Arabidopsis thaliana: one gene and its partner. The protein of the gene in region 1 purifies or fractionates together with the protein of each later gene. This does not show direct contact. Each region holds a gene or a part of one and is shown in the gene's direction. Other genes may lie near its edges. The genes, in order: DEL1 and PMH1.

Region 1 (6,640 bases):
TCCAATTAAGTTTCACTCATTTATTTACTTTTGTATATCAGTTGCATACCCTCATATCTCTTGTATCATAGAACATAACTGTGACTGGACATCAACAAAATTGTGAATCAGAGGCTCAGTCCTATAAGTTTGTAATAACGTCCATATATTGCATTTATTTGAAGGCAGCCTACTGGCCGAGGCTAAAAGAACACTCAAAAGCATTTTGGAGCCAACTTTTAAAAAGTTCATTCCATCACCCTATTCTGATAAGATATAAAAGCTCTAGCTAAATAGAAAATAGGAGATAGAGAAACAGAACATACCAGATAAAGCGCATAGTAACGCAAGAACAGTGATTTCTTGCTCACTTGGTCACGAAGCATATGGGAGGCCCGTCTATACTCTCGACAATCAAAATAGGACTTTGCTAAAAGGTAAATGTCACCATCAATCGCTTCATCTTCTTCCGGGAGAGGAGTAGCTGCTTGAGAGAAGCCAACGGAAGGTAACGGTGTTGAAATAGATTCATTGGTGCTGAACCTTCTCCGGATGCTAGAGCTTCCTCGCTGAAACCTCGTATTCGCAGGTGTAAAATTAGACGGGTCTTGCTCTATCCCCACAAGCTGCTCTCCTGCCCTGCAATGATGAAAGCAAAGGAGATATCAAATATGGAACTGACTAATAGTTCACCACCATTGAACTACAATACGAGTACTAAAAACTGAAACTTTAACTCATAATTCACAAATTAGTGTCGAGCTCAAACATATCGAAAGATTGAACCGGAGATCAGAAGTTCCCATCGAAAGAACACATTTTTTCAATTAGTGTCGAGCTCAAACATATCATAACACAAAACCCACATGTCGAATCATCTGAATTGGAATGTATCCAACACCAAATTCGCAACAAAAGTGAATTCGAATCAACGAATCTGCTTAACCAAATTTGTTTACAATTAGCCCAGGATACAAAAAAATTAGTAAAACCCATAAAGGATAGTGAAAAAATCGATTTTTAATCGAACCAGAGCAGTAGCGAGCTAGAGATTGCAACAATGGGAGAGGTTGAATAAGATTAGGGTTTTGAGAAAACGAACCACTTTGCGGCGGAGTATAAACAGCGGTCGCTAAGCTGTCGAATAGCCGCACGTATTTCGTTTCGGCAACACTCTTTAGAGACCATAGCAGAAGCAGAAACTGAGAGTTTAACTTTAAGTATTCAAAAAAGAATCGAAGAATCTCTTCTTCGTCGTGGAGAGAGATTTCAGAAACATTTGCTCCCTCCATCTTAATTATTTTGAAATTTACAGAGAGATCGTGTGTATTGGGCCCATTGATTAACTTTTGGGTTTCAAAATAGGCCCATGAAACTAACATACACACACACACAAAAACTCTTTACACAACTAATTTTAATATCATATCAATTTTGTCACTTTGTATTAATTTCTGTTAGGTATCAATGAATTATTGAAAAAGTGTAAAAATAAAATAAGAATGCAATTTTTTTTTTTTTGTTTTGTCAACAACTTTAAATTAATTGGTTTAGCTCAAATGAGTAAGACCAAAGGTATGCAAAACTATTATAGAAAAAAAAATCTTAGTTGGACAAAATAACCTTTTGTTTTGGTCAATAGAAATTTTTAATGGTAAGACTATAATTTAGTCAAAGATAGACCCTGATTTTGCTTATGCAAGTAGTTAAACACTATCATGAATCTACCATTTTAAGGGCATTACTCTTTACAAGATTACAAATCAAAAGATTTAATCTTTCCAAAACCAAACAAACCATACCAAACCAAAAACAAATTCAGACCAAATCACTTTTAAATCCTACAAAACCAAAATCCCCTTACAACTTTACTTTTTGAGTTCAAGTAAAAAGATAGATATCCAAAATAGATCTTGTTACTATAATATTGATTGAAAATGTATTATTTTGGTTAATGTAATCTAATTTTGGAAAAGAAAAATGAAAAAGTTGAACAGAATCCTGAAAATATTGTAAGAAATTTTCTAAACCGAAAAAACAAAAAGACAAAAACCAAAAAATTGCGATCTGAACCGAGCACAAAACCGTAAAGGTTTCAGCTTTACCAAAATTTAGAGGAGTGTGTAAATGTTACGGAGAAGGAGGAGCCAAAAAATTCAAATTGGCGCTCAAGTATCTTGGGAAATTCCCCCTCTCTCTTTTTAGGAAATCCCTCCAAAATACAATATCAAATTCTCAATCGCAGACATCGTTTGCGTCAACCATGTCAGATCTATCGCCAGAAAGATTCAAACTTGCCGTTACTTCTCCTTCTTCCATACCGGAATCTTCTTCGGCTTTACAATTACACCATTCCTATAGTCGCAAACAGAAATCTCTCGGACTTCTTTGTACCAAGTTAGTGCCTTTTTACTAAACCCATTTTATTTATTTGTTGTTGAATTTGTTCTGATTAGTGTTCTTCGTAAACTCAGTTTCTTAGCTTTGTATAATCGAGAAGGGATTGAAATGGTTGGGCTTGATGATGCTGCCTCGAAATTAGGTATTGCCCACTTTGTGTTTGTGATTTTTATTTTCATTTCTGATTTTACATCTTAATTTGTTGATTGGGGTTTTTGGGGTTTATTTCAGGAGTGGAGAGACGAAGAATCTATGATATTGTTAATGTTCTGGAGAGTGTTGGGGTGAGACTTGTTTCTCCACTACTTTGTTTTTTTTCAGAATCCAGAAGTGTTATGTTTGCTTAATTCGAGTTTTGTCTAATTTAGGTTTTAACAAGAAGAGCAAAGAATCAGTATACGTGGAAAGGGTTTTCCGCAATTCCAGGAGCATTGAAGGAGCTACAAGTGAGTCTTTTCATTTGTTTTGTATTCGGATTCAATCCCATTCAATCCCAATTGTGAAGAAATGTAGCGATTTGATTTGCATATTCTCATAGGAAGTGTTCTTGATGTAGGAAGAGGGGGTTAAGGACACTTTTCATCGTTTCTATGTCAATGAGAATGTTAAAGTAAGTCATTTGGATTTGGTTTCTTTTGATATACTTGTGTCTTTAGTTTGTTGTCTTCATACTTCTAATGCTTAAAGTTTCATACTTTCAGGGATCTGATGATGAGGATGATGATGAAGAGTCTTCTCAGCCTCACTCTAGTAGCCAGACTGATAGTTCAAAACCTGGTTCTCTTCCCCAATCTTCAGATCCCTCCAAAATAGGTACTGTTTCATTTTGTGCGTGTAGTACTTATTGTGTTCGGGTTTAGTGCCATTGCAAAGTAGTTAAGTGATTTACCCTCTTGGTAACTCTATATGTGGGATATGAATTATGAGATGCAATGTAGATATCCTAACATTTTGTTGGTTGGTTATGTATGACAGATAACCGACGAGAGAAATCTTTAGGATTGCTTACTCAGAACTTTATCAAACTCTTTATTTGCTCTGAAGTAAGTGAGAAGTTCAAAGATTCGTTTTTTGAACTAAAGAGTTATTCACTAAGTTACTAAAGATTTGTTTTTTATGTGTTCAACTGTTTAGGCTATTAGGATCATCTCCCTTGATGACGCTGCAAAATTACTGCTTGGTGATGCCCACAATACATCAATAATGCGAAGTAATTATCTTCGTCTTGTGACCTGAAAAGTCTTTTCTTTTATGTTAACATCCTCGGTTGAGACAAATCGATCTGTGTTTGTTGACACATTGATTACTTTTATGCAGCTAAAGTGAGGCGGCTTTATGATATAGCAAATGTCTTGTCGTCAATGAATCTCATAGAGAAGGTAAGTCAAAGTTATCAATAGCTACAACAGTTGTGAACCATCTATGATTTCAAGCTGTGATTTAAGTCTTACTAGTTTCTGTATTCTCTGGTGGCAGACTCACACCTTAGATTCTAGGAAACCAGCTTTCAAGTGGTTAGGGTACAATGGTGAGCCTACTTTCACACTGAGCAGCGATTTGTTGCAATTGGAGTCAAGAAAAAGAGCTTTCGGAACTGATATTACAAACGTCAATGTTAAGAGAAGCAAATCATCATCTTCGTCCCAAGAAAACGCTACAGAGAGAAGGCTAAAGATGAAAAAGCACTCAACACCAGAGAGTTCTTATAACAAAAGCTTTGATGTTCATGAATCAAGACATGGATCAAGAGGAGGTTACCATTTTGGACCTTTTGCACCAGGCACTGGTACATATCCAACTGCTGGTTTAGAGGATAACTCTAGGAGAGCTTTTGATGTTGAGAATCTGGATTCTGATTACCGTCCCTCTTACCAAAACCAAGGTGCATATATTTTATTCACATCCATTTGATATCAAACTTGTCAAAATATTGCTATGAAATTAACTCTGTTTCTGAACAAATTTCAGTTTTGAAAGACCTCTTTTCCCATTACATGGATGCTTGGAAGACATGGTTCAGCGAAGTCACCCAGGAGAATCCATTACCTAATACATCACAACACCGTTAGATCTTCTTTTTCTTCTTCTTCTTCTTCTTCTTCTTCTTCTTCTTCTTCTTCTCTTACCTGTGAACATCAATCATCATTCGTGTAGAGAGCTTCAAGAGTCATTTCTTTTGATCAATGTGGTTTAGTTTCTCCACACAATTGTAACTGCAAGAATCCGACATTAATTCACAGATCGCATACCCTCTTTGCTTTCTGAAGTTTACTGTAGGCTGTAACTTTTGTATGTTACATATAAGAGCATTCATCTTTCGCCAGTTTTTTGCTACTTTTGTATGGCATGTTGTTTTGAGAAAAACAAAAAGAAATATCATCTCATCTTATTTTTCATTTTTTTCAAGAATTTAAAGTAGCAATACCATTTCTCTTACAGAAGGGTCTCTTGCTTTATTGGTATATTCTCATGAGTACATGTTTTAAGGAAATATCAGGAACTAGTGTTTGTCTCAGAGCTTGGAAGGAGGTTTGTACCATCCCCATGGTTCATCAGAGATATACTGAGTCACCTGCTTCACACTCAAGTAGTTCTCAAGTCCCCTGCGACGAAGAAAATATGTTTCAATTCAAATTTTGTTGGTAATCTATTACGGTTTAAGTTACTATGGACACAATTCCATCTAGTTGGAGAGTGTCTTTTTCTAATGGTTTGATAATCTTAATACTTATAGCTAACGAAAGAGACTAACCATTCTCCCAATTCACGGCCAAATCCACTGCGTTTGGTTCCACCCCATGGAGCTTGGCAGAAGCATGGCTGAGAGCAGTTGACCCACACTATTCCCGCCTGGAAAGCCTGAAACACACAATGATTACGATTCATAAAACTTTAGAGATTAAGTTCAATCATGAGGTTATTGATTGTTATTGTTGATAGTAAAAGTTAGATACACACCTTACTAACACGATCACACCGCTCCAGATCATTTGATAATACTGCGCCTGCTAATCCATATCTGCAAATACAAATAAAGTCAGGCATATGATCTAACACGTCATCAGTGGAGTTCTACTTCAAGATAAGAAGAGAAATCTACACTCACTGAGAGTCATTTGCAAGCTGAATTGCCTCATCCTCGGTGGAGAATGTTTTCACACACAGAGCAGGACCAAAGACTTCCTCTCTCCAGATTTCCATTGAAGTAGTCACATTTGAAACAATCGCAGGTTCAACAAAGTATCCCTTCTTTAAATGCTGCAGAACATAAATAAAATATTGTAAGTGCTACGGGCTCTAGATAGTATTTGGCACATACATAGAAGATTAGTCAATATAATGTACCTCAGGACGAACTCCTCCACAAAGAACAGTTGCACCTTCATTCCTAGCGTTTGAGACAAACTTTAGAACTCTCTCGTACTGCACAGGAGGATAAATATGTAAGACTTGACTAGAAATCTTTCGTCATTAACCCAAATTGATAGATAAGAGGGTTTTGGAGGATTGAGGTGTTTATTCTTGAGAATGTCAATTCTGTTTAGCAATTTAACCTGTCCTTTACTGACAACAGGACCAAGCCTACAGCCTTCTTCAAAAGGATCTGAAATCTTAATGTTCTTGGTCCACTTTACCAGCTTGTCCAAAAACTCGTCAGCAATCCTTTCCTGACATTTCACCAGATTCTTTCATGAAAACAACAGTACACAAGAAGTATAGTAAAGCTTCGCTATCCTACTTTTATCAAGGGTTCCCAAGGTCCTACGACAACTGATACTTATCAATCTATCCGAATTGCTGATGACCAGTCTTACAGATAAACATATACTGAAACTCTGTACCTTTGCATCGGTGGTTTCATGTAAAAGATAAGTTATATATTCTACTTGTTTTATGACTAGAGTAGCCTACATAATTATAACTTAATTTCCAAAGGTAACCTTTAATTTTACAACATATAATTGTGTTAACGGATAACACATAACTTGTTTTATATGTGTTAACGGATAACACATAACTTGTTTTATATGTGTTAACGGATAACACATATCATGAACAGTTCGGTGCAGAATTTAAAATCAGAGGTACTGTAGATTATAGGCTCACTTACATGCACAAGAAGTCGAGATGTGGCACTACAAATCTGCCCATTCGTCCAGAAACAACCAAACATAGTCCATTCCACAGCTGTTTAGAGCAAAATATTAGTCACAAATTAAACCAGCATTTTAGAATACAAATATATAGCATAGTTTTCTTA
Region 2 (6,324 bases), 9.9 Mb from region 1:
GAATATTTCACGCCAATGACTGAATTCGACCGTACATGGCCAGGTTAGTCGATCAAACTTCATTTCCAGTATGCACCTGGTTCTTATTACTCTCTTTCTGTTTTCTGATGTATCTTTTTTTCTTCCAGCTGTTTACTTCTTATATGATCTTTCACCTATCACTGTGACCATCAAGGAAGAACGCCGTAGTTTTCTCCACTTAATCACTCGTCTTTGCGCTGTATTAGGCGGTACATTTGCTTTGACAGGTTAGTCCCATCTCAGTCTTGCCTCCAATACTCAATCTTTCAAAATCTTTTGCCTAATATAGTTTATCTCATACCTTAAAACAGGAATGTTAGATCGTTGGATGTTCCGCTTTATTGAATCTTTCAACAAGAAGCCGAGTACTAGAGCGTAAACTAGCTGAAACAGAGACAAAACAATGAGAAACAAAAAAAACCAAAGGAAGGAAGAAGAATCTCTCAAATCCCAAAACTTGTATCTGCCTTCTTCAGACAACAACACCCACCAGAGATTCCAGGATTGATGATTACATTACTCAGAAACTCTAGAATCCATGGATATAGTTTTTTTTTGAGTCTCTCTTATGTATTACTCTGATTATCTCTGGTTAAACTAGTAGAGTTAATTTGTAATTTTTATTCACCTTGCTTCCTGGGATTTTAACATTTTTGCATCTTTTCACTTGTCTCAGTAAAAAAACAAAATTATACTGTAGCTCACCGTAAGATAACGTACACTCGTCACAGGTGATCCTGTCCTCACAATTCTCTCTGATTTCGCTTACTCTTTCACTGAAACCCTAATTTGGGGTTTTTCAGATTTCCTTCAATCTCTCGTCGTCATTTCTTCGTCTCACCGTTGAATCTGAAAATGATCGCCGGAGTATTGCGCCGATCTTCACTCCCGTCGAGGCAGACTCTCTCCGCCGCGTTAGCCTCCTTCAATTCGTGTATTTCGCACAATCTCACTCCAGCCACCACCGGAGCTTCCGTCAGCTCTCGATTCACTCTCGCGTCGTCTCCTAACTCGTTTGGCATCAGAGCGAGGAACATCCACATTAGATCTGAGCCGTCGATGATTGTTCCCGCAGGAATCGCGTCACAAGGTTACGCCACTGTCACAAAGGATCGCAAAAACGAGATTAAGAAAGCTAAGATTAAAATTTCTCCAGACAATGTCAGACCATTGAGTAGGAAGGAGATCGCTCTCCAGGTATATGCATTTTTGTTCAAATTCATAGAATATTATTCAAAGTGCTTCATCAGATTCAAATTCGAATAGGAATCGGAATGTGAAATTCATTGAAATGATTTAGAACTGTTGTTTATGTTGTTGTTGTTGTGTGTTTGGGGTTGAATTGTAGAAAGAGGCAGCAGAAGAAAGCACATCAAAGATAAAAGGAACAAAGATTTGTATAGCGATTCGGTCTTTTGTTAACCCGGAAAAGCAAGCTTGGTGTCTTCCTCCTCACACTCGTAAAGTCGCAATGCCCGATACACGAACTCTGTACACGGTGCTAAGATCGCCTCACGTCGATAAGAAGTCTAGAGAACAGTTTGAGATGAGGTTCAAGAAACGGTTTCTTGTCATCAAAGCTCAGAGTCATGAGTTGAGCAAGAAGCTGTTTTGGTTAAAACGTTATCGTATTCTTGGAGCTCAATATGAACTCCAGTTCCATTGCAAGACCCGTTTGGATATGACTCAAGTGTTAGGCAACATCAATGGCTCCACCACCAATGCTTACTGAGATGGCTAAAGACATCATTTTGTAGAAGTTTCAAGACCCAACCGGGTACTATGCAATAATTTCGAACCTTACGGATCCATGAAACCAGCTTTGCTTCACATCAGATCAAGTAGTTATTTTCTTGCTTAGTATAAACATGTGTTTTTGGACGATTTTGAAAGATACAATTGAGTTTCAGTTACAGTGCTTTCCATTTATTCATTAGCCAATCAAAGTCTTTATACATCACCAAGGATTGAGACACATTTAGACTGCTAAAGGTGTCATTTTGAGAAGTTATAGAAACCTTTGACCCGACCATGGAATGATGTCGAACTTTAAGGATCCAAGAGCTCACATTTTAGGTGTATTCATTCATTAGGCAATTCTAAGACTTTTACATTGTACATAATCACTAATGATTTGAGACATATGGTATAGGTTAATTTGATAGATCTGATTCCGAACCTGAGCTATTGCCAATTTGCCACACTACACAAAGTTACAAAAAACAGAACTCATTAACTCTTTGCTTCACATTCAAGAACACCTTTGGGCTCAAGCAAAAAATAATAATCAACTCTGTTTCCTTACACAAGCTTGCACGTGTAGGAACATACCATACACTCACCCGCAGGTGATTATAACAAAGTTCCCTTTATACCCGCCTTTGATTCTTCTTCTTAAATCTCTAAACCCTTTTGCCGTCTCCCTAAAACCCTAATTCTCATTTCTGGGGTTTCACATTTCATCTTCACCAGAATCCATCACACTCTCTGAAATCTGAAAATGATTAGCACAGTACTTCGCCGATCTATCCTTGGTACGTCAAGGCGTACTCTCGCCGCTTCGGTGACCTCCATTAACGCAGCTCTATTTCATAACCTTGCTCCAGCCGCCGCCACAGTCTCCGATCTAGCAAATGGAGCTACTAATGTCAAGTCTCTCCCTTCGAATTCGAGCCCTTTTGGTGTTAAAGTGAGAGACTTTCATGTTAAATCTGTACCGTCGGAGTTTAGATCGTCGATTGTTTCTTCTGCGGGATTCGCGGCTCAAGAGTATGCTCCTTCTTATGAGAACGATGGAGGGATTGGAGATTCGGAGAGTGTTGGTAGCAGCGGTGGTGGTGATGGGCTTGCGATAGCTGATCTTGGTATATCTCCGGAGATTGTTAAAGCTTTGAAGGGTAGGGGTATTGAGAAACTCTTTCCTATTCAGGTATATATGATCTTCTTCTCTGTTCCATTTGGTTATAGAGATCAATTAAAAGTTTAGATTTTTTTAACTGAGTTTTTGATGTTTGTGTTTGGTTGAATAGAAAGCTGTGTTGGAGCCAGCGATGGAGGGTCGTGATATGATTGGCCGTGCAAGGACTGGAACGGGAAAGACACTTGCTTTTGGGATTCCTATTATTGACAAAATCATCAAATTCAACGCTAAACATGGGTTTGTGTTTACTGTTATATATAACGATCATTTGTGATTGAGAGATTTGCACTTCCTTTGGTTCTTATGTTGTCTTTTGATGTGACAGTCGTGGGAAGAATCCTCAGTGCTTGGTTTTGGCACCGACGAGGGAGCTTGCTCGTCAGGTTGAGAAAGAGTTCAGGGAATCTGCTCCAAGTTTGGATACTATTTGTCTCTATGGAGGTACACCAATCGGGCAACAAATGAGGGAGCTGAACTATGGTATTGATGTGGCGGTTGGAACTCCTGGTCGTATCATTGATCTGATGAAAAGGGGAGCTTTGAATCTATCAGAGGTTCAGTTTGTGGTTCTTGATGAAGCTGATCAGATGCTTCAAGTTGGATTTGCGGAAGATGTTGAAATAATATTGCAGAAGTTGCCAGCGAAGCGTCAGAGTATGATGTTTTCTGCAACAATGCCAAGTTGGATCAGATCTCTCACCAAGAAGTACCTGAACAATCCTTTGACAATTGATCTTGTGAGTAGTCTTATACCTGCTTGTGTTTATATCTTAGAATTGCTGTACAAATTGCAAATATTGATCTTGGCTGTAGCAGTGTAGTTAATGAAGTGACATTTTTTAATGACACATGTACTCTTATGTAATTTAGGTTGGAGATTCAGATCAGAAACTTGCAGATGGGATTACTATGTATTCTATCGCTGCAGATTCTTATGGAAGAGCATCCATCATTGGTCCTCTTGTAAAGGTATGTTTTCTTTACTTTGCTTTTAAGCCAATTATCTGTATCTTGTTTTGATTCTTCATTTTTGTTTCCAGTCGTGATTTTATAACATCTTCTCCTTTACAGGAACATGGCAAAGGAGGAAAATGCATTGTCTTTACCCAAACAAAACGTGATGCAGATCGCCTTGCATTTGGATTGGCAAAAAGCTATAAATGTGAAGCTTTACACGGTGACATATCTCAAGCTCAGAGAGAAAGAACACTTGCTGGTTTCAGGGATGGGAATTTCAGTATTCTTGTTGCAACTGATGTTGCTGCCCGTGGACTTGATGTACCTAATGTCGATTTAGTGAGTGAAAACAATACCTTTTCTTGCGCTTAACTAGTTCTGTTTCTCATTTTATTAACCTGTATTGTGCTTTGTGTACAGGTAATTCATTATGAGCTTCCTAATAACACGGAGACGTTTGTTCACCGAACGGGGCGAACTGGTCGTGCTGGAAAGAAAGGAAGCGCGATTCTCATCCACGGTCAAGATCAAACCAGGGCTGTTAAAATGATTGAGAAAGAAGTCGGAAGCAGATTCAATGAGGTTAATATCTTTCTTTACCACCTTTGTATCTTTTGTATGAATAGCTTGGGTAACAAACAGTTCTGAATCTATTTGGTTTTGAATTCAGCTGCCTAGCATTGCTGTGGAAAGAGGAAGCGCAAGCATGTTTGAAGGAGTAGGTGCTAGATCTGGTGGGTCGTTCGGAGGAGGTCGATCAGGCGGTGGTGGGTATGGTAGTTACGGTAGCAGCAGTGGCCGTTCAGGTGGTGGTAGTTATGGAGGTTATGGTGGCAGCAGTGGCCGTTCAGGTGGTGGTGGTGGTAGTTATGGAGGTTCAGGGGGATCAAGCAGCCGTTACTCTGGTGGTTCAGACCGCTCATCTGGTTTCGGAAGCTTTGGTTCAGGCGGTTCTTCAGGAGGATTTGGTTCAGACCGTTCTTCTCAGTCAAGTGGAAGGAGCAGCTTTGGTGGGTTTGGATCAAACGATGGTAAAAGATCTTACTGAGAGAAGTGTTGTGTTGGTTTTGACCCGACTCAGCAATAATGGAGTTGACTTAGGAGAGAACTCGGTATCTCGAGTTGAGTAGTTTACAAGGAGTCGAGCTATATATAAATTCTGTAGCTACTTCTTGTCTCATAAACCAACATAAGTTATATCATTATTTCATATCCTCTAATTCATTTTTATTTCTCAATTTGAGTGAAATGTGTTTCCCTTACTTCGCCACTTCCATTTATGAATCTTGTTAGATTGTGAGAAAAGGAAATAATGTGGTTGATCAAAGATTCAAATCATCCCTAGTTTTGATTTCTTGTTAGATCTTGCAAGTTTTTGGTAGAACCATACACAAGAAAAATTGTTTTAAGCTTTAATTCTCATATCTGACCAACAAAAATAAAACACAGTCGACAATTATTGTTCACTACAAAAAGCATTACTCTTATGTTTCACAACTAATTAGCCTTCATTTCGCAAAACTTGATGCACTGCATAGCAAGAGCATGCAACTAGCTGCTGAACGAAAAGGCTTGGCTCTGCATAGCTAGCATAATAATACCAAGCTCCTTGGGTGTGATCCCCTTTGCAGTGAATCCAGATTTAGTTTCATCCAGTCTTATAGGCCCAAGAACGGGTTCTTGTACACATACTTGGTGATTCTGAGGGTTACAAAGCTGAGATCCCATAAACGTTGAAAGGCGTTCAGGTGGTGGTATAAGAATCATTGAGATGAGTAAAACAGTCAACACCACCCACAAGGGCATGCAAATCAATGGTAGCCATCTCAACACCATCCCCCAGCTTCTCCATTTGGAGACATTTTGAAAAAAACTCAAGAACGGCGCCTGTACAACCGTCAACACTCATCCACAGCTGATCTGAAGTCAGTAATACTCTGGAAGAAGTATCAGTTTTGAACATTTTAAAAATTGATATTTACGATTTTTTTCTTTTTAGGGTGTTAAGGAATGGGGATTATCGACAAACAAGTGATGAATCAGATTATTAACAAAATATGGCATTTGTTGGGATGAACAAATACAAACAAGTCGGAATCGGATCTTGCAAGTTTTTGGATAGAAAACTAATACAAATAAGTTGTTTCAAGCTTTAATTTCTCCTATCGGACAAACAAAAATAAAACACAGTCATCAGTTTGGTTTAGTACAAAAGCATTACTCTTATGTTTCACAACTCTCAGCGTTCAATTCGCATTACAATCCACAAAAGCCTTTTGCTTTGGCTTATACAACATAACGATAGGTAACATAACGACCAGCCGTTTCACTCGGACGAATGATCTTCACGACTTGCCCACGTTTTAGTCCAAAGTATCTTGCGATTGGATCAGTCACTTGGATCCTTGGAAGCTAACAACACCCAC

What was found.
Region 2: the proteins of DEL1 (region 1) and PMH1 purify together in Arabidopsis thaliana (affinity purification with mass spectrometry, with the first as the bait; one large-scale study listed by BioGRID). This does not show direct contact.

Annotation. Positions count from the first base shown.
Region 1 is NC_003074.8:17,781,399-17,788,038, forward strand, and holds DEL1 (DP-E2F-like 1), read left to right. Parts: upstream 1-1,932; 5' UTR 1,933-2,242; coding exon 2,243-2,376; intron 2,377-2,453; coding exon 2,454-2,521; intron 2,522-2,610; coding exon 2,611-2,663; intron 2,664-2,747; coding exon 2,748-2,825; intron 2,826-2,935; coding exon 2,936-2,989; intron 2,990-3,080; coding exon 3,081-3,192; intron 3,193-3,354; coding exon 3,355-3,422; intron 3,423-3,513; coding exon 3,514-3,589; intron 3,590-3,696; coding exon 3,697-3,758; intron 3,759-3,855; coding exon 3,856-4,261; coding exon of another isoform or gene 4,262-4,290; exon of another isoform or gene 4,291-4,324; intron 4,325-4,347; coding exon 4,348-4,448; 3' UTR 4,449-4,762; downstream 4,763-6,640. Other genes in the region: APC8 (anaphase-promoting complex subunit 8), read right to left, coding at 306-618, 1,082-1,167; ALDH10A9 (aldehyde dehydrogenase 10A9), read right to left, coding at 4,892-4,982, 5,132-5,238, 5,338-5,398, 5,486-5,637, 5,725-5,802, 5,934-6,047, 6,491-6,567. UniProt on the Arabidopsis thaliana protein: Inhibitor of E2F-dependent activation of gene expression. Binds specifically the E2 recognition site without interacting with DP proteins and prevents transcription activation by E2F/DP heterodimers.
Region 2 is NC_003074.8:7,884,861-7,891,184, forward strand, and holds PMH1 (putative mitochondrial RNA helicase 1), read left to right. Parts: upstream 1-2,415; 5' UTR 2,416-2,521; coding exon 2,522-2,950; intron 2,951-3,050; coding exon 3,051-3,178; intron 3,179-3,266; coding exon 3,267-3,678; intron 3,679-3,811; coding exon 3,812-3,910; intron 3,911-4,012; coding exon 4,013-4,237; intron 4,238-4,318; coding exon 4,319-4,480; intron 4,481-4,568; coding exon 4,569-4,946; 3' UTR 4,947-5,293; downstream 5,294-6,324. Other genes in the region: AT3G22290 (Endoplasmic reticulum vesicle transporter protein), read left to right, coding at 1-43, 129-248, 333-400; RPS10 (ribosomal protein S10), read left to right, coding at 877-1,218, 1,370-1,753; NRPB5 (Eukaryotic rpb5 RNA polymerase subunit family protein), read right to left, coding at 6,185-6,310.